Linked DNA regions of Mus musculus: region 2 is reported to be linked to region 1. The links are microRNA targets in miRTarBase. Many come from high-throughput screens and were not tested one by one. Region 1 holds a microRNA gene; the other region holds the end of a gene's coding sequence. Distances are from middle to middle.
What was found. Region 1 holds the annotated microRNA mmu-miR-344f-5p (AGUCAGUCUCCUGGCUGGAGUC, at 7,424-7,445, opposite strand). A microRNA usually pairs through its seed, bases 2 to 8, with sites in the 3' UTR of a target mRNA and lowers its output. Matches are read on the target gene's strand: a 7mer-m8 pairs with bases 2 to 8, a 7mer-A1 pairs with bases 2 to 7 and ends in A, and an 8mer does both.

Region 1 (12,579 bases):
CTAGAGAAGTCACAGTAAAATATCAACAGTATAAAAGACTTTATCAAATGGCTCCAATTTAAATGCATCAACTGATAATAGAATAAAAATATAAATTGTATAACTAATATCATAATTTCGTGTTATTTCCACATATATTTGAATATAAGCTTACCATTTATTGTAAGACGATTACAGCATACTTACACGTAATATTTCCGTTTCTCTGCCCTCTCAAACTTCTTCAATACGGCCCATAAAATTGTCCATCCTCTTTTAAACTATTCTGTCTTGAACAGTTCCTTAAAGAAAGCCAAACATAAGCACTGAGTTTCAGCACTAACCTTCTCTGTCTACACTGTCTTTGTATAAATTCCCACCATATAACACTTAGAGTATCACCACTTGATAACTTTTACAACTCAACCAGACCCACATTAAAAATGATCTCTCTAATCAGTGCCATTAACACTAGTAAAGGTCTTGTAATTATACATTTCGTATATGTTGGGCTATAATAAAGCTATAGAAATAAAGAAGTAGAGATACAATATAAACAATTGCCCGTTGGCAATCATCATATGAACAGGATAAACTTCTGTGATATAAGGTGGATTTTTGATTTGTTTCTCCATTTTCCAGGAGTTATTTATGAGATGAATTGGGTGGGGAGTATCCTGAAGCTCCTTGCATGCAAAGTAAATGATGCTAAATATTCGCTGCTCTGATATGACAAGTGAGGCATGTGGGCCAGGCCTGCTGTCACTCTTCTTCCAGGGTCTAGGCAACAGGAGCTAATTTTCCAACTGAATAAATGACTATGGTAGAGATATACTATAGTTATGTATATAAATATAATAGCCTTGTTCATGTGGGTCCTCTTGAGGTCCATTTTGTATTCACGGTGTCCTGTACTCCTTTAATTGATAGCTAGTCCTTCTCTGGGAGACATGCAGTATCTTGTGTTATTATCTGCTTCCACACTCCATAGAGAACAGTCTTTAATATTCCCCTAATAAGAACTTTGGACTCTCTGTATAAATACAATTGAAGATTGGACCCCAATACTACTGAATTGGCAATTCACTATGTGATGTAATCCTGGTATATGAGTGGTAATAAAACACATGGTAACAGTGAACTCATATGGGCTCTACAAAATGTCAGAACATTTATTATTACATAGTATCTATAAACACATAAAAGTAAGATAATTAAACTTAAAGAAGGAATAACATATAAGAAAAATAATAAAGAAAAGAAAAAAATAAAAACCTACTGTCCTCTATGGAGAATGGTGATGTTTGCTTTCTTTCACTCGTACAACAGTCTTTGTATGTGTTGGTTACTTTAATGTCAAGTTGTCATTTGATATTGCCAGAGGAGAGATAGGACCATAATTTTAAAATGTCTCTATAATCTTTGTCTGTAAACAAAATTACAGAGCACTTTCTTAATTAGTGATTGATTTCATTGAACCCAGGCAATTTTGGCCCTAGGTTGTATAAGAGTGTAGGATCAATAATCTATGAGAGTAACCCAGTAAGCAATACCTATTTATATCTTTTGCATCAACTTCTACTTCCAATTTCCTTTTCTGTTTGAGTTTGTGGTCTGACTTCCTTCAATGATATACTATGATAATGAAGTACAAATTAACACACCCAGTCTTTTTCCCTAGTTGTTTTGCATGTTGGTGTTTCATTACAGCAACACTACACCTAACTAAGACAGAGATTGGTGCCAAGAGTGAGTTATTGCTGTTACAGAACTGACCATGTTGTTTTGTATAAGATTTTGGAAGGAGACTGAACTCTTGGGAAACTAAAAACATTGCATGCTGAGTTTACAGTGAATATGGCATAGGAGTTTTTAAGATAACAGGTGATGGTGTCCTGGCTTGTGATGTTTCTGAGAGAAGTAAAGACTCTACAAAGCCATTTCTGTGATGAATCTTTTGTGTCAGATCAGCTTTAGCTGATGTATTGGCTGTAACCAACATGAGACCAGGATCACTAAAGTAAGATTTTTACTGTTCTAGGCCTATGGATGCTGAAAATCAGCTGTGATTAAGAATAGCACAATACCCTCAACAGAGGAATGGATACAGAAAATGTGGTACATTTACACAATGGAGTACTACTCTACTATTAAAAAGAATAAATTTATGAATTTCCTAGGCAAATGGATGGACCTGGAGGGCATCATCCTGAGTGAGGTAACCCAATCACAAAGGAACCCCCAAAATATGTACCCACTGATAAGTGGATATAAGCCCAGAAACTTAGAATACCCAAGATATAAGATACAATTTGCTAAATGCATGAAACTCAAGAAGAACGAAGACCAAAGTGTGGACACTTTGCCCCTTCGTAGAATTGGGAACAAAACACCCATGGAAGGAGTTACAAAGACAAAGTTTGGAGCTGTGATGAAAGGATGGACCATCTAGAGACTTCCATATTCAGGGATCCATCCCATAATCAGCTTCCAAAGGCTGACACCATTGCACACACTAGCAAAATTTTGCTGAAAGGACCCAGATAGAGCTGTCTCTTGTGAGACTATGCTGGGACCTAGCAAACACAGAAGTGGATGCTCACAGTCAGCTATTGGATGGATCACAGAGCCCCCAATGGAGGAGCTAGAGAAAGTACCCTAGGAGCTAAAGGGATCTGCAATCCTATAGGTGTAACAACAATATGAACTAACCAGTAACCTCCCCCACCCCCTGCCCCGGAGCTCGTGTCTCTAGCTGCATATGAATCAGAAGATGGCTTAGTTGGCTATCATTGGAAAGAGAGACCCATTGGTCTTACAAACTTTATATGCCTCAGTACAGGGGAAAGACAGGGCCAAGAAGTGGGAGTGGGTGGGTGGGGGAGTGGGTGGGGGAGCATATGGGGGACTTTTGGGATAGCATTGGAAATGTAAATGAAATAAATACCCAATAAAAAAAGAACATTAAAAAATAAAAAAAGATAGTTCATCACCAAAAAAAAAAAAAAAAGAATAGCACAATAGTGAAGTTATATCAAATTGAGGTAAAGTCTTCTGGAAAGTGTTTCTTAAATGTCAACACACAGAGTGGTTGGAAAGGTTGCTCAGTGGTTATGAACATAGAATGTTCTTCCAGAGGACAAGGGTTCAATGTACAGCACCCACATGGCAGCTCACAAGTGTCTATAACTCCAAGATCTAATACCATTACCAAACATACAGGGTAAACACCAATACACGTTTAAAAAAAAACGAGTCAACACACAGATGTGTTCCATGATCTTTTAAGGTGATTCCTCCTGTTAGCAGCCAATACCAGTACTGTAAATGTCATACAGCTCTGGATTTGAAGGCATGAGAGCTGTAGGGCAAGTGTGAGCTGAAAGAATGGGACTGGAATAGGAGTGAGGTTGGTAGGTTTCTAACCCCCTAAAATCACTTCATAAAACTACAGTCTTATCTTGACAGCAGCAAGAATAAGGACTCCCTCCCTAAATTCTTTGCCTGAATGCTGCAGGGCATATAGCCCCACAATCCCCACCTCCATGCTTCCATGCTTCCATACTTTTCTTCTTGATGATAATTGACTAAACTTTTGAAATATTAAGTCAGACAATGAAATATTTTCCTTTATTAGATTTGTCATGGCTATGGTGTCACTTTACAGCAACAGAAACCTCAAGACAATGTATAATCCAAATTGTTTCTCTCCAAGTTGCTTTTGGTAATGGTATTTCATCCCAGGCATAATAATCATAAACAAGACAGTAAGTAGGTAGCATATTTTAATACATGGCAGCAAGTAAAAAAGGCAAACTGTGAAGAACAAAAGGCTTACCCATTTTCTCTTGGTAGACATCTAGCAAAGTATAGAATTTAGACTAAGGAGTGAAGTTATGTCAAATTTCTCATGTGTTGTGGGAAGTTATTGAACTAGCCATAGTATAGCCTAATAGAAAACTAGTACTCTGAATATACAAATTCAAATTTGTATATTAATCTAATTAACTAGTTTTTTTTCCTGAGAGATACCATTTCTTAAGGAACACCATAAAGAATCAGCTAGAGTACCTTGTGCATTTCTTGAATAAAAATGATTAAATGAAATTTCAAGAATTTACAAAATTAACTCATCCACTATTAGTTATGCAATTTACTACTGGACCATTTAAATTACTATTTTATGTAATAATGGATGCTTGTGATTTCATGCCATATAAATATGTGAACATAAACTCAACTTGGCCTTTAAAATTTGGTTTCTAGTTCAATGTCTTTTCCAATATTATCAATATGGTGATCTAGTTATCCACAATTAACTAAACTCAATTCTGATGAAATCTGAGGAGAAAGGCATATACAAATATTAAGTGACACTGCAAAGCCTCTAAGCAGAAATGCAAGGGAACTACCCCTCAGGTACAGGGTGATAGTGGCTCCTATTATCTGTTATATCTATTATATTCAAACCAATCACCCAATGGAGGTTTTGAGACCTTTTATAGATTCCAATAAATAATGTGTCCCTTTCTACCCCACTTCTCTCCTTCCTAATTTTTCTACCATGTTGAAAATGTTGAAAGTTTATATCTTGGTACTCACATCATATGTACATATAAGAAGCACAAATTGAAATAATTGGATTTGAAGAAGAGTGAAAATATGTATAGAGAAGGATGTAGAAAGAAAGCAAAGAGGACTATGTTATGATTAAATAAAGATTTCAAAAGAAAAAAATTGAAAGGAAATTTTTATATAAAAGTTATTTCCTTAAGGATATGGCCAGTCCTCTTAACTTGCCTGATTTCAAAACTGGAGTGTCCAGACAAGGAAGAGTAAACAAATATATTTATCACACAGCAGAAACAATATTTACCAAAAAACTGGTTGTGGATTAGAACATAGAATCTGTGATACTCTTGATTCCAGCTTTACAGTTTTTTTAATATTTTTATTACATATTTTCCTCAATTACATTTCCAATGCTATCCCAAAAGTCCCCCATATCCTCCCCCTCACTTCCCTACCCACCCATTCCCATTTTTTTATGCTACCTGATGATTATTGGCTAGAAGTCAGCACATGACCTGTCACAAAACCACAAGCTATCGCCAGTTGATTACTGCAAGCAAATGGAAAATTAAGTTTCCTCTAGTGGAGCTTCATCGCATATGCAAATTAACTTTAAAGGTCCGAAACTCAGAAGTAGATCGCACACAAAAAAGTACTCAAAGGCATTTTTGAGTTTCTTTTTCTTATAATACTCACTCAGTGTTTGTTTTGTTTTGTTTTGTTTTGTTTTGTTTTGTTTCTGTTGTTGTTGGTGGTGTTTTCTTGTTTATTTACATGTCCTTTTTTTGTGGGCATGCCTATAATGGATAATGGTTTATGGTATTGTGTTTTGGTGCCACTTATTTTTGTGTGAACATGTGTGCCTCTGCATAATTTCATTTGGCTATTTTACTTCTGTTTGTTTCTTTCGTGTGTCTTACTGTGATTTGTTTTATTTTAATGATTGCTCAGTAGTAGTAGTAGTAGTAGTAGTAGTAGTAGTAGTAGTAGTAGTAAATTCATGTCTATATTCTCTTTAAAGAGACAAGGAAAAAGTGTAGATTAGATTTGGGTGGGTGGGATTTGGTATGAGACTGAAGGAAAGGCCATTCAGATACTGCCCCATGTGGGGATCCATCCCATATAGAGTCACCAAACACAGACACTATTGTGGATGCTGGGAAGAGCTTGCTAACAGGAGCCTGATATGGCTGTCTCCTGAGAGGCTCTGCCAGAGCCTTATGAATACAGAGGTGGATGCTCATAGCCAACCATTGGACTGAGTGCATGGTCCCTGATGGAGGAGTTGGAAAAGGGACTGAAGGAGCTGACACTTGGAGGGGAGCAATAGTGTCAACTGGCCAGATCTCTCATAGCTCCCAGGGACTGGACTGCCAGTCAAAAAGTACACATGGAGGGACCCATGGCTTGGGCCACATATGTGGCAGAAAATGGCCTTATTGGACATCAGTGGGAGGAGCAGCCCTTGGACCTGATGGCGTTTGATATCCCAGTATAGGGGAATGCCAGAGCACAAGGGCTGGAAGACAGACAGAACTGGATGGGTGGTTGAGGAAGCACCCTCATGGAGACAGGGGGAAGGGAAATGGGAAAGGAGGTTCCCAAGGGGAGACCTGGAAAGGGGAAAACAATTGAAATATAAATAACAAAATATCCAATTTTTAATAAACAAACAAACAAATAAATAAAACAAAAGAATAAAGTCCTAAGTAAGGTTAAAAAAAAGTTTGGCTCAGGGAAAACACAATCATATATTGTATGAAATAAAATCTACCTTCAATAAAACAATACCACCCATTAAAAAAGTGAATGTTTCAGCTCTGACCTTTCTCTCAGAGTTTTAGTTTGCCAGATAAGAGATATATGTAGATAGCAGTTCTCCTCATATTAGGTCCATGAAGGGAGTCTGAGGAACAGCAGCTCTCCTGTCTCTGTTATATACTGAAGGCTGGGATGCTTATGGAATAGTACCTCTCCTTTCTCTGTTATATACTGAAAGCTGAGATGCTTATGGACCAGTAGCTCTCCTGTCTCTGTTATATACTGAAAGCTGAGATGTTTATGGACCAGTAGCTCTCCTGTCTCTGTTATATACTGAAAGCTGAGATGTTTATGGACCAGTAGCTCTCCTGTCTCTGTTATATACTGAAAGCTGAGATGTTTATGGAACAGCAGCTCTCCTGTTTCCTGTTATATACTGAAGGCTGGGATGCTTATGGCAGATTAAAGCCAAAATCCAAGGGTAAATCATATATATATATGTCTATATAAAATTTATACTTCTCTCATACAGTGTATCATAAATGCAACCTCCCCTCCCTCCCTGTTCCCTGTCTCCTCTGGAACATATGTTCCTCCTTTTCCCTTCAGAAAAGAACAGGCTTCCCATTGATACTAACTAAACATAGCAAAAAAAAAAGATGCAATAATACGAGAAAACAAAACAAAACAAAAAACCTTTAAATCATGGCTGAATGAGGCTACCTAGTAGGAGAAAGCAAGTCCCAAGAGCAGGGAGAAAGAGTCAGAGACATCCTCACACTGACAGTGGGCAATCCCACAAAACCCCCAAGCTTAATAAGCAGACACTTGCAAAGAACCTAGGCTCCATGACTACTGCTTCAGTCTCTATTAGTCCCTCTGAGCAATATATTTTTAAAAAAGAGCAATGGATAAGGAAGAAGGAACACATTTCCTAAAGAGGAAATAGAAGCAAATAATTCAATAAACGTGCAGACTCTTTTAGCAAGTACCTGTCTATGCTGGTTTTCCATTGGCTCTGTTTCCTGGCATATCTTAATATGGGTCCTCCTTCACTGCTAAGTAGGTTGTAGTCAGGTCCTGGCTAGAGCCTGGAACCAGCTTAGAGCTGGACTCCAGCCAGGAGACTGACTGGCAAAACCCCTCTCTTCAGGGACTTATATTAGCACCATTTGTCTATGATTGGCTGAGTGTGTGCATTCAAAATAAGAATGGGCTTAGGACCAATCAAGTGAGAGATCTCAAAACTAGCTATGTAAATCAATAGCCTTCTGTAACCAGGGAGATTTCTATACAAGCTTGTATGTATCGCCTCTCCTCTCTGTGTGCTGCAGCAGGCAGGAACAGTGAAATGAGAAATAATAAATAAATGCAATTTTACATGGTTCCACTTGACAAAAGGCAAAAACAGCCAGTGGTGTGTGGGGGCTCTGAGCATGTATCTGGTTGCTTGGGAATAGATGCTCTTGTAAAAGGAAGTGTCTTTGTCTGTCTGGACCCTTCTGATTATGATTTTGAGCTGCCAGATGCAGCTGCTGCTGATGCTTTCTACCCAGCTGCGCCACTGTTTACAAGCGCAGTGATTATAAGAATGAGCCATCACACTAGATTAGAACTTTATGTCTATTAGAATGATTAGACTACAGAAAAAGCAGATTAGATTTAAAAAAGAAATATATCTAATGAACATGAAATGGCTTAAAGTATAGTCATTGTAAAGAAATAATTTAACAGGTAGTATGAAAATTTATTTTAAGACAGGTCCATAATTATTCTCTGCCTCTGCCTCTCTCTCTCTCTCTCTCTCTCTCTCTCTCTCTCTCCCTCTCTCTCTCTCTCTCTCTCTCTCCCTCTCTCTCTCTCTCTCTCTCTCTCTCTCTCTCTCTCTCTCTCTCTCTCTCTCTCTTTCTCTCTCTCTCTCTCTTTCTCTCTCTCTGCTTGCATTTGTGAACTCATACATTTCTGGTGTGAGGAGTGAGCATATTGTGCATCCAGGTAACAAACAAAAGACAAATCTACATTTTTCCCCACTAGCAGCTTCATTTCTTAAGACATATTTTATTCATTATAAATATTATGTGTTTTTAATACCTACCCTACATTCTATAATCTAAAATCCTACACTATCTCTACTATTACTACTCTATCTGTACTTATATGAATCTCTCTATTCTCTTTATGTATGTGTGCATGTGTTTGTGCATGGCTGCATTTTCATTTCTCTCTGTCTCTCTCTCTCTCTGTCTCTCTGTGTCTCTCTTCTCTTTCTGTCTGTGTGTGTGTGTGTGTCTGTGTGTATTTCTGTGTATGCATGTGTGTGACTACCTTCTTATTCTTATTGATATAATTTAATTGCATTTCTTCTTTCTCTTTCTTCCTTCAATTTTCCAATAAACCACATCACAATATCTTTCAAATTTATGTCCCCCTTTTACTAATTTTTGTTGGATGTATACATGCATATACCTATATATTCTTAAATATAATCTGATTAGTAAGTTTAATGTTACTTCAATACACATTCTCAAAGGTGATCTTCTGTTAAAACACAAATAATTTGTGTGATCTTCGCTGAGAATGGCCACATCTTCCTTTTCCAGATTTCCTCAGTTGCATGTTGTTCTATAAGTATGGTGGAGTCCTTGTGAACACTTTCCCATCAAGTTTAGCTCAATTTTGGATGTTCAGGTTACTGAAATTTAATTGATGGAGCTTTTAAAATTATTCATAGAAACATTATTATAACAAAACTCGCTGATCACCTGGCTCTGACATTTATTTTTGCTACTTCACTTTATTGTACCACAAACATTAGGTGTAAGAATATTTTGTGGATAGATCTACTATGAACTTGCAAGCTGTAATTGAGGAGGCTTGTGGAAGTCTATGAAGGTGACTCTAGCTAAGAATCCTAGCAGTAGGGGATATGGACCCTAAAGTGAATACCTCTTATAGCCAGGGAGGACTTCCAGTGAAGAGATAATGAAACTATCTCACAATAAAAACTTCAACCCCAAATTTTTCCTATCTACAAGAAGTGCAGGGACAAAGATTTCATATTCACTGGGAGAAAGACAAACCAATGCCTGGCCCAACATGAGATCTATCCCTTCGGCAAGAACTAAATCATAACACTATTAATGATACTTTGTCAGGAACCTAGTATACAGGAATTGAGTATAACTGTTCTCTGGAAATCACCACTCAGCAGCTGACCAAAACAGATGCAGATATCCACATCCAAACATGAGATGGAACTCAGGAAGTCTTGTGAAAAATTTGGAGGAAGTATTGAGGAATCTGGAGGTGATAGGGACACCAAAAGAACATACAAATAAAAATAATGGGCAAGCTTCCAAAGGAGAAAGGCAATCAAAAGTCATATATAGCTATCATGGCTGTAAACCTCATCAGTTAACAGCATAGCATAATAACCTCAAGTGTGCAGTGGCAGCATACATAACTTTGTGGCATCTACTAACACTCTAATTGATAATATGTCCTGTTCAGAGGGAAACAATATCCTAGTACTAGAAACATAGTTAATTACTTGGTGCTACTGAAGTTATGGATAGTGGAGAATTGTCAACCACAAACTTATTAATCAAATATAACAACAAAATATTGTGTAATAGTCTAATCTCATAACAATTTATAAACATTTGTCTGAATATGCTAAGATAAATTTACTCATCTCCATTCATAAAGAAACTCCTCAGTGTAAAAGATGATTATTTCAGAAAAACCATAACCAGTCATACTATAGAGTTGTACAGCCCATTCTCCCTCTCTTCTTAATATCAACTTGTCAATTTAGGCTATGTAAGTGTTCAAGGATGTATGGATCTCTAATATAATCGTGGTATCTTCTGAGGCCAAACATTACTGAATAAAACAAATTCTCCCTTCTCCAGCAGTCCATCAAATGCCAAAGATATCTAAAATAAGAGTGGGACTTCCTGAGGGTTCTATCACCCCTGCTAAGATTTTATCTTCCTTGATCTATAGAAGTTTTGTGTATGCAGATTTAACTGCTTACAGCTCATTTGCATAACTCTGATATTGTACCTACTACCTTTGCTTAATTTGATACATTTATGTTCACCAAATTTACCAAAAAAATAGTTTGGCTGGCCAGAAAAACTTAGCAATCTTAACTGCATGCCATGGAATTGCATGCCAAAAACACTATACGTGGATTTTTACCTGTGTATTCTAGCAATTAAATCAGAAGCTCATAATTTCAGAGGAATTATATTGCCCAACGGGCCACCATTAGACCCAGGCATAGTTGACGTTAAAAGAAAAAAGAATAACCCACTGACTATAATTCAAGGACCACAAGAATATTTGCTCTACATATTCCAAAAATCACTTTGTACCACAACACTGAAGATCATCATCTCTGAGATATTCCAAAAGTTTCAATGTTGATTCTCTGCAATCTTAGAAAATAGGAAAGTACCTGCATCATTCTTTTGTCAGCCACAGGTAGTATAATTACTCTCCACTAATTTCTGCATCACATTCAAGACAGACAAGCTTCTAACAAAATATTCTTTCATATTGTCATTTCCAGTAAGGTTGATTTAAGAATTTCTTACAATATTAAAGTAGAAAAGAGAGTCCCCTATGTCTCTCATTTTTATATTTCATCTACTCCTTACCTCCATGCTATGTTGAAGTGAACACTAAAGATAAGAACAGTACAAAACCTATAGGTAAACTTCAATATTTCATCAACTCCTCTCAAATGTCATTATTTCACAAATCATAGCCCTCATCATGATAATAGAGTTTTAGTTATTCAAAATTACACGTTAATTGTTCATGATAGAGTGTAATGTGAATGATAATCAGTAGTCTTATTATATGATCAAGGAAATGTGTTATACCAAACACTGTAACCCTAGTCATCTGTTCACAGACAGTGAGATTACCAGTCTTGCAAAACAACCTACAGCGGCCAACTTACTGAACCAGTATGCTTTATAATCACATTCTAAATATATATCTTTATATCCACAGATTAATGCAACATTCACCATCAGCAAAACAACTTCATTTTGCAGCACAAAGAGACCTTTACAGTATGCCCCTGGTCAAAATTCATCTGACTTTGGTATGCCTAATAACAACAGTTAAATTTAAAACCATCATCAGCATCAAGCTTCAGAGTATTATGGAAGAGATAGAAAAATACTGTAAATCCAAAGGAATCCTTGAATGCAGAAATTAGTCATTAGATATACATAATTATATGTTTGTAACTATAAAACACATAACAATATGCCTCGAATTTGAAATCAAATGGGACATATATGAGTGTTGCTGTGGATGAAAGATGGAATGGTATAAGTAATCATTAGATCATATAGACATGTATGAATACATGAAAAATACTTTAAAAATTCCTAAAATGTATACACTTCAGAATGTAATTTAATGGATTCACCTTACAAAAGAGGATAGTTCAACTAAACATTTAAGCCACCAAGTAAAATGTATAGTATTGGAAATGGGTTATTTTTGATTCATTTATTAATGGAGTCATATAGACTCTACAGCTATCACAGGTTACAGCCAAGGATATCTTCTACTTTATAGAACCTAATTGTGAGGCCTATTGCTGGAAATGCAGCTTATTTATCACATTATACACAGAGAAATCGTGCTCATGAAAATTAGAAGCTTTACTATTTCTGACTAGAAATCCTGGTATTGGGAGATACTCTACACATAACTGGTGGAAAGAAGAAATCATCAATGCTACCCAGATACAAATGATGCAACCTACATTAATGATATGCTTGTATAATACACTGGTGAAATCATTGTACAAAAGTCATTGGAGTAATCTTTCAGTTTTATGAATTTATGATGTAACCCACAAAGCAGAACCAATAGAGAACATTGTTACTGTGAAAAACAAAAAAAAACAAACAAACAAAAAAAAAAAAAAACACCTGAGACTAGATGGGACAAGGCTTGTGGAAAACCTGTTAATATTATTTAGCTAAAGGAATCTAGTATTAAAATTCCTCCCATAGATAAACATGCTCTTCAATAATCATTAACAAAGATCCTACTTGTAGTAGATAGGAAATAACATAAGGATTCACAACTGTACAATAGCCTAAGTATGAGAAACTTTGAGCACTTGCTCCTAAATGAGATGTCTTAAGCAAACATATCAGTTCATGCCTCAAAGATTTCAACAGAAAATGGGATTAAGAAGACTGTCAGAGCCAAAGATAGTGAATAACT
Region 2 (7,632 bases), 60 Mb from region 1:
TTTTTTTTTTTTGCTCTTGTCTAGTATAGCAAAGTAGAGGATGTTGTTGTTGTTGTGAGGATGTTGTTGTTTGTTTGTTGTTTTTAAAGACGGGTTCCGTTCTTCTATCCTAGAACTCAAACCCATGCCTCAAAGATCGAACCTCCCACATGCTGGGATTTCTGGCTTAAGCCACCACTGCATGTTCTAGCGTTGGTTTCTAATTTAATTCCGTGTATCAGGAACACATATTATGACTCTGTTCTAAATGTACAGAGACTTGCTATGGCCTTAATATTTGTCTGTCATGGAGAAGAGTATATGTGCACTTAAAAATATGTACAGTACCCAAAAGGAGGACATGGTGTTGTGGGGAATGGATACAGCTAAAGGTAATAAGCAAAAGAAGCCAGAAGACGAAGTTCACGTTTTCTCTCAGTTCTGGATCCAGATTGTATAAACACCTAAAAGAATATCTAACATGAGAGCAGAGGAAAGACACGGGAGGAAAAAGAATGGAAGGTGGAGGTGGGAAAGAGGGAAGATATGCAGAAGGGAACAGGGGTAAAATGCATAGTACAGTTAGGTAGATTGTCTTTATGAAACACAGCACTATGGACATGAATATTCAATATAAAGAAGAGGAAGCAGAGAAGGGAGGAAGAAAATCACATGTCTGACTTCATGTGGTGATACACGCCTGCAATCCCAGCACTGGGGATGCAGAAAGAGGAAGATTCCTTAAGTTTGAAATCATTTAGGCATACGTAGCAAGACCCTGTCTCAAAAACAAACCAAACAGCAAAAAAGAAATATATAGTCGGGTGTGGTGCCACACGCCTTTAATCCCAGCACTCGGCAGGCAGAGGCAGGTGGATTTCTGAGTTCGAGGCCAGCCTGGTCTACAAAGTGAGTTCCAGGACAGCCAGGGCTATACAGAGAAACCCTGTCTCAAAAAAAAAAAAAAAAAAAAAAAAAAAAAAGAATAAGAAAAGAAAGAAATATATGCAGTCATTGAATAAGTGTTCCATGTATTTTAGTAAAGATGATCATTAGTGTCCTTCAAAACATATGTCCTTGATCATCTTCTGAGTTGTCCCACCAATTGCTGCTGAAAGACTAAGTTTCCAACTCATTATTGTTAGCTGGGCACACACCTTTCAATGCTCAGGAGGCAGAGGCAGGCCAAGGGGAATTCAAGGCTAGTCTGGTCCTCAATGTGAGTTCCAGAACAGCCAGGGGCTGTATAAAGAGACCCTGTCTCAAAAAACAAACAAACCAACCCACGGGTGGAATTCATCTTGTTGTACTGCCACTTTTCTGCCCAGCTGCATTTATTTTTGCTTCAGGTTCTTCAGGGCTCTGATATTAGGTATATGTGCATTTGTAACTTTTATCTTCCTTAAGTACTAACCTAATATCATCATCAAGTACACCTTTATCTCTGAAACAAAGCTTGTTCTCTGGTTTACCTGGCTAATTTTTTGAGTATATTTTCTTTGTGCTATGTGTCCACTGGTGTCATTGAGGCCCAGGCTATTTTTGTTGTTGTTGTTTCTTCTTTTAAGATTTATTTTTTTAAAGATTTAATTATGTGTATATATGCATATCTCTGTGTGGGTTTGGTCACTTATGAATGGATGTACCCAGAGTCCAGAAAATGACATTGGATCCCCTAAAGCTGGAGTTACAGGCAGCTGTGAGCCTCCCAATATGGATGCTGCGAACCAAACCTGGGTCCTTGAAAGAGCAGCATGTGCTCACAGCAGTGGCTGTTACACTGTTTCTATAGCATTCCACATCCACAAAGCTGTGGGGGGGGGTGGATTGTTAGGGCAGTCAGCTTGGCAGGATCTAAAATCACATAGAAGATGGGCCTCTGGACATGCCTACGAGGGATCATCTCTTAGACCAGGCTGGCTTCAAAGCTCAGAGATCAGACTGTCTCTACATCTAGAGTGCTGGGATTAAAGGCATGTGTTACCAAGCCTGGGTAAGGGACTATCTTGATTATGTTAATCAAAGAAGGAAGACCCAGCTTCATTGTGGGAAGGACACTTCCAATGGGCAAGAAGGTCCAGAACCTTATAAAATGGAGAAAGCCAGGCTGATTATTAGCTGTTTCTTGAATATGGATACAATATGACCGCCTGCTTCAAGATCTTCCTGCTTTGATTTGTTACACTGAACTATAAGCTAAAATAAACTTTCTGCCTTAAATTCCCACAGCTTAGAACAGAAAAGGAAACTAAGAAGGGGAACACATTCCAAGTTTAAACCATTCTCAAGTCTGACCCAGCGTTCCCTTTATACTGAGCTCTTATGAATGAAGTCTTGAGATTAGCTAGGGCTATGTGGTCAGTTGGGCTCTCCAGTAACTCAGAAACCTGACACAACCTCAGGCAGGGAATGCAGCTTCTCTGCTGATAAATGGTGGTTCTGGGTCATTCCAGTGTGCCTCCCACAACAAAGATGCCCTCTGCAGCAGGGAGAGGGAATAGTGAGAAACCCCAGTAAATAGTGACCACAAACCATCCTCTTCAAGCACCAGCCTCCCGACACAGAGACCCCTCAGGTCCCACCAACCTTTCCCTCACTCCCCAGGGACCTTTTCAGATGTGTCCATGCTGCCAGCGGCTCCTTAGAAACATGTCAGTCTGTCTCCTAGTCCTGACCCTAAGCCTACACTTTTAAAAATATTTAATTTTAATATTGTATATGTATAGTTTATGAGTTGTGAACATCAGTTCAGGTACATGCAGAGGCCAGAAGAGAGAATCACAGATCCGGATTGTTGTTAGCCTCCAGACATGGGTCTTCTGCAAGAGCAGTGCATACGCTTAACCTTTCTGGCCCCAAGCCAACAATTTTTTTTTTGAGACATGCCAAATGGACCTGGATAAGCCAGACATAGTGGTGGACATCCTTAATGCAAGCACTTGGGACCTAAGAGTTCAAGGTCATTCTGAATCAAAGAGCCTACGTTCAAGAGATTTTTCTGTTTTTAAGTGGTGAGGGACACTTGAGTGTTACTTCCTGGCTTTAACACAAATTCAGTCAGCCAGAACTAGCTTTATATGGAAGTTCCACACCTGCCCATGTCAAAACAATTGCTGAGTGGAGCACATTGGTTCACATCCATTTTTGGTTTTGGTTTTGTTTTTGCAACAGGGTTTCTCTGTGTAGCCCTGGCTGTCCTGGAACTCACTCTGTAGACCAGGCTGGCCTCGAACTCAGAAATCCACCTGCCTCTGTGGTTCACATCTTTAATCCCTGCACTAAGGAGACAAAGACAGATGGATCGCTATGAATTTAAGGTCACCCTGGTCTATATAACAATCTCCAAGCCAGCCGAGCTACAGTGAGACTCTGTGTGGAAGTCATAACTTGAGGCACTCAGTGTTTCCTCGTGTTCCCAGAATCAAACTCAGGTGGTCAGGCTTGACACATGCAGGTACCGCACCTGCTGAGCCATCTGGTGGCCCCTAACTACATTTTAAACATTGTTACCAAGAGTATAAGGAGTCAGCTGTGGTGGTACACACCTATATCCCAGCACGTGAGAGGTAGAGGCAAGGGGATCAAAGTCAACCTGTGCTACATAAAACAGTGCTAAGGCAGACTAGGTGGCTTGCTCAAGAGGGTGCATGTGAGAGAGAAAAGACCGAAGGTGACTCTCAGGCAGATCCTACAAACAAGCGTGGTGGGGGAGAGAGAACTAAAGACACCTGGTTTATAGCTCAGGTGAAAGGAGACTGAGCCATCCTTTGCTCTTGGTGTACCTACTCTCCCCCAGCTATCTAGTGTCACAATCGTCTGCTTAGCATTCCTAGTGTGGCTCTGGAAAGCAGATGAGGGAACTTCTATTCCGTATGTGTGCATATGTGTACCTGTGGAGGCCAGAGACCAATTTCCTGTGCCCAGACACCATCCACCTTACTTTTTCAGACAGGGTCTCACAGGGCCTGCTACGCACCAACTGGCTGGTTAGCAAGCGCCAGTGCCGGGGATTGTACTCTCTCTACTTGTGCTTGCCACTACACTCAGCTTTTCTATGTAGGTTCTAGGAATGGAACTCAGGGCCTCACTCTTGCACAGCAAGTGCTTTGAAGAGCCATCGCCCCAGCCCAGAATTTCCACCTTTTATATTTTAATTTTGAATCATGTTTAATACCCATCAAAACAGTGACACTAAACATAAGAAATTCAGCTTTATTTGGTTTAGAAATTTCAGTAAACGGAAATGAAGTTGAAAAGAACCCACCTGTAATTCCAAGACCCAACCATGGCCAGTTATGTGTATATCCAAATATCTGGGGGGAAATGTTTGGTTTAAAGCTAGAACAAGGGGATAAGGATGTAGCTTGGTTAGTTTTATGTAAACTTGACACAGTCGTCTGAGAGGTGGGAACTGTAATAAAGAAATGCCTCCATAAGATGAGTCTGCATGCAAGTCTGTAGGGCATTTTCTTAAATAGTGATTAATGGAGAGAGGGGTCAAGCCCACTATGGTGGGACCATTCCCAAGATGGTGGTCCTGGCTTCTGTAAGACAAGCTGAGCAAACCACAAGGAGCAAGGCAGTAAGCAGCACCCCTCCACGACCTCTGCATCAGCTCCTGCCTCCATGTTCCTGCCCTGTTTGAGTTTCTGCCCTGCCTTCCTGTGAGGTGGAAATGTAAGCCAATAAACTCTTTCCTCCACAAGGTGTTTTATCACAGCAGTAGTAACCTTAAAGCCATAAATTTGATGGCCAGAACAACAAAGAAGAATAACCTGCATTTTCACTTAGCAATAGTTTGAAAGCAGGCTTCTCTCACAGTAGAGGGAAGACTGCTTGCTAATTTTGTACCATACTATCGAATCTCTCCTTCCATGGTAACTAGACCCCAAGTTTATACTGTGTTGCACTGCACACAACATCCATACCTTCCCAGTGTGGTTTGCAGCTAGGTGTGGCCAAATACCCATACAGGACAAGATGTGAAGGCAGACATCATGGGAAGTTTCCAGAAAGCCTTGGCATTTCCCCTTTTCCTCCTGTAACTGTTTTTGTTGTTGTTGTTTGTTTTGGTTTCCAGAGACAGGGTTTCTCTGTGTAGCCCTGGCTGTCCTAGAACTCACTCTGTAGACCAGGCTGGCCTCAAACTCAGAAATCTGCCTGCCTCTGCCTCCAGAGTGCTGGGATTAAAGGCGTGCACCACCATGCCCGCCCGGCTCCCTCCTGTGACTGACAGTGCATTGGCAACTGTGATATTGAAGCTGCATCTGGGAACAGGGCTGTGAGGAGCGTGTTCCTGGGAACTTAAAGGCAAAAAACCTTGGATGCCCTGCTCTAGCCTGTTTCCACAAGTGTGTAGTGTATATTGGCTACTATATCATGTTTCTTTGAACATGGTATTTGAGTTCCAGGTCAGGTTGGACTATAGCTTGAGACAACAAAAAACCAGGGGGCTGGGGATGCAGCTCAGTTGGACAAGTGCTTGCCTAGCATGCACAGGCTTGGGGTTCCATCTTGTCAGGACTTGGTACACATGAGTTGGAGGCAGGAGGATCAGAAGTTGAAGGTCACTCTCTTTCAGTTTCCACAGTGAGTTTGAGGTCAGCTTGGGCTACATGAGACCTATTTTTTTTTTTTTTAAAGTCAGTCATTGTAGCGCAGACCTTTAATCCCAGCACTCAGGAGGCAGAGGCAGTGGATCACTGTGAGTGTGAGGCCAGCTTGGTCTACATGGTGAATTCCAGGCCAGCCAGGGCTACAGTGACTGTCTCAAAAACAAACAAAAACAGCAGCCAGAAGCTATCCTAAAAATCTACTGAAATTATCAATATTAATATACACCTAAAGAAAATTATTGTTGGATATCCAACTAGATGAACATGTCATAATTGAGAGATGGCCCTCCAGTTTCTGAGGCAGAACCCGCAAGACTGGATGCCAGGACTTTCCAGCCCTCAGCACCCATTTCAGACCTCAGGGTTCCTTCTCCCATGGACCCAGCCAAGCAGAACTTGTTGAAGCATGCATGCCAAAGAACCCAGCACATAGTAGGTGCTCTCGAGTCAACCAGTAGCTTGAGTTTCCTTTCTGGGGACACCTGAGGCAAACACCCACCCCTCTTCTCCAGCTCCTTCAGCTCGTCAGAACACTGCTCATCATGTCCTCACTTGTTGACAGAAAACCATTCCCCGCCAGCCTGTCCCCTCTAAATGCATCCCCTGTGGACTCAACACCAGGCAGATCTGAACACAGTATTTATTCAATGATGTTCTGTACTTAGTCACCACATGGCTCTCTACCTGCATCGCAGCTCCCCACCTTGGATTGTGAGGGCTCAGGGCTGGCCCCCCTTAACTATGATTCACAACAACGAACACAGGGTCACAATGAAAGAGCTCTGAGATGTTTGTGAACAGAAAGAATGAAGATGACATTGTGGGTCCTGAGTAAGGGCCCAGACAGGCTGCCCAACCCACAGAACCCAAGGCCTGAGCAAGGCCTCAAGAGGGTCCGTCTAAGGGAGTATCTAAGGCACTGTAGTGAAGGACATGATTGGCCCAACAAGTGTGGTCTCCTGGTTTCATGGCAAGCCCCTTGCCTGAACCAGTACAACAAACATTCCATTTAGAAGGTCTTACTGAATATCTGCAAGCAGCATTTGCTAATGAAAAATGAAGACAAGGCCATTCTTGGAAGAGTGTGCCCCAGAAGACACTCTCTGTCGCAAGACCAACCAGGTCCCTTTCTAAGGTCCCTGAGAATAGCAGCCTGGGAGCAACTAAGACTTTCAAAGGCTGACAAGGCACAGAGTGGATGAATGAAAAGATTAACAATACATGGAAAAAACTTTGGCTTATAAAACTCCAACTCGAGGCAGGGGCAACATTGTCAACCAACATGCAGAAGCAGGTATGAGTGCAGCAGAGATGATCTCAGAGGTGGTCAGCATCCCCCATACTGCCCAAATCCCAAGCCCAGCTCTCCCTCCTCCCCCAGCACCCCAGTAACACACACGCACCCACACATACATGATCAACAGACACATTGGCAATCAAGGCCTAACATCAGGAGAGAATCCTTGGCACTCTGCACTACATTACAACAAGTCCCGACCAGACAGTAAAAGGACGCTGGCCTAAGCGTGACTGAAGAGTCTTGGTTGAAAAGTCAGGCGGTGCTCAAGACAGCCAGGTCTGGAAAGTCTTTCACCTCTCCTACTTCACTGAACGGCTGCCCACCTTGGTTGAAAGTCAGCTTATACCGCAACCGGATAGGTTCCTAGGACAGAAGAGAGGCTAAGATGTTAAATCAATCAGTAGGAAAAAGAGTCAAGCCTATAGTAAAAGCTTCCACCCAACTTAAGACTCTCCAAGGAACAGCTTACAGCTTATTTATTTTTGAGACAGGGTCTACTGTGTGGCCTAGGCTAGCCTGGAACTTGCTGTGTAAATCAGGCCTATCTCTTCCTCTGGAGTGCTGGTATTACTGTACACCACTATACTTGGCTCGGTGTGTTTACATAATTCCCCCAAATGAAGAGGTAGAGTAATGGAATGCCATGAATACCCTGGCTTAGTCTCTTTAGAACTACAAATACCAGTGCCAGGCATGTATCCTGGAAGCCCAGCCCACCCCAGCAGTCCCAAAGAGTAA

Region 2: the mRNA of Gga2 is a reported target of mmu-miR-344f-5p. Seed matches in the 3' UTR shown: 7mer-m8 at 5,622-5,628.

The regions. Positions count from the first base shown.
Region 1 is chr7:62,038,802-62,051,380 of GRCm38, forward strand. Mir344f (microRNA Mir344f) reads right to left here and starts at 7,447; the gene lies at 7,380-7,447.
Region 2 is chr7:121,982,545-121,990,176 of GRCm38, forward strand. It overlaps Gga2 (golgi associated, gamma adaptin ear containing, ARF binding protein 2), which reads right to left. Exons shown (of 17, transcript NM_028758.2): 17 at 4,178-7,257. The coding sequence ends at 7,147. Among named protein-coding and RNA genes, the nearest start is that of Cog7, 4.7 kb to the left of the region's middle.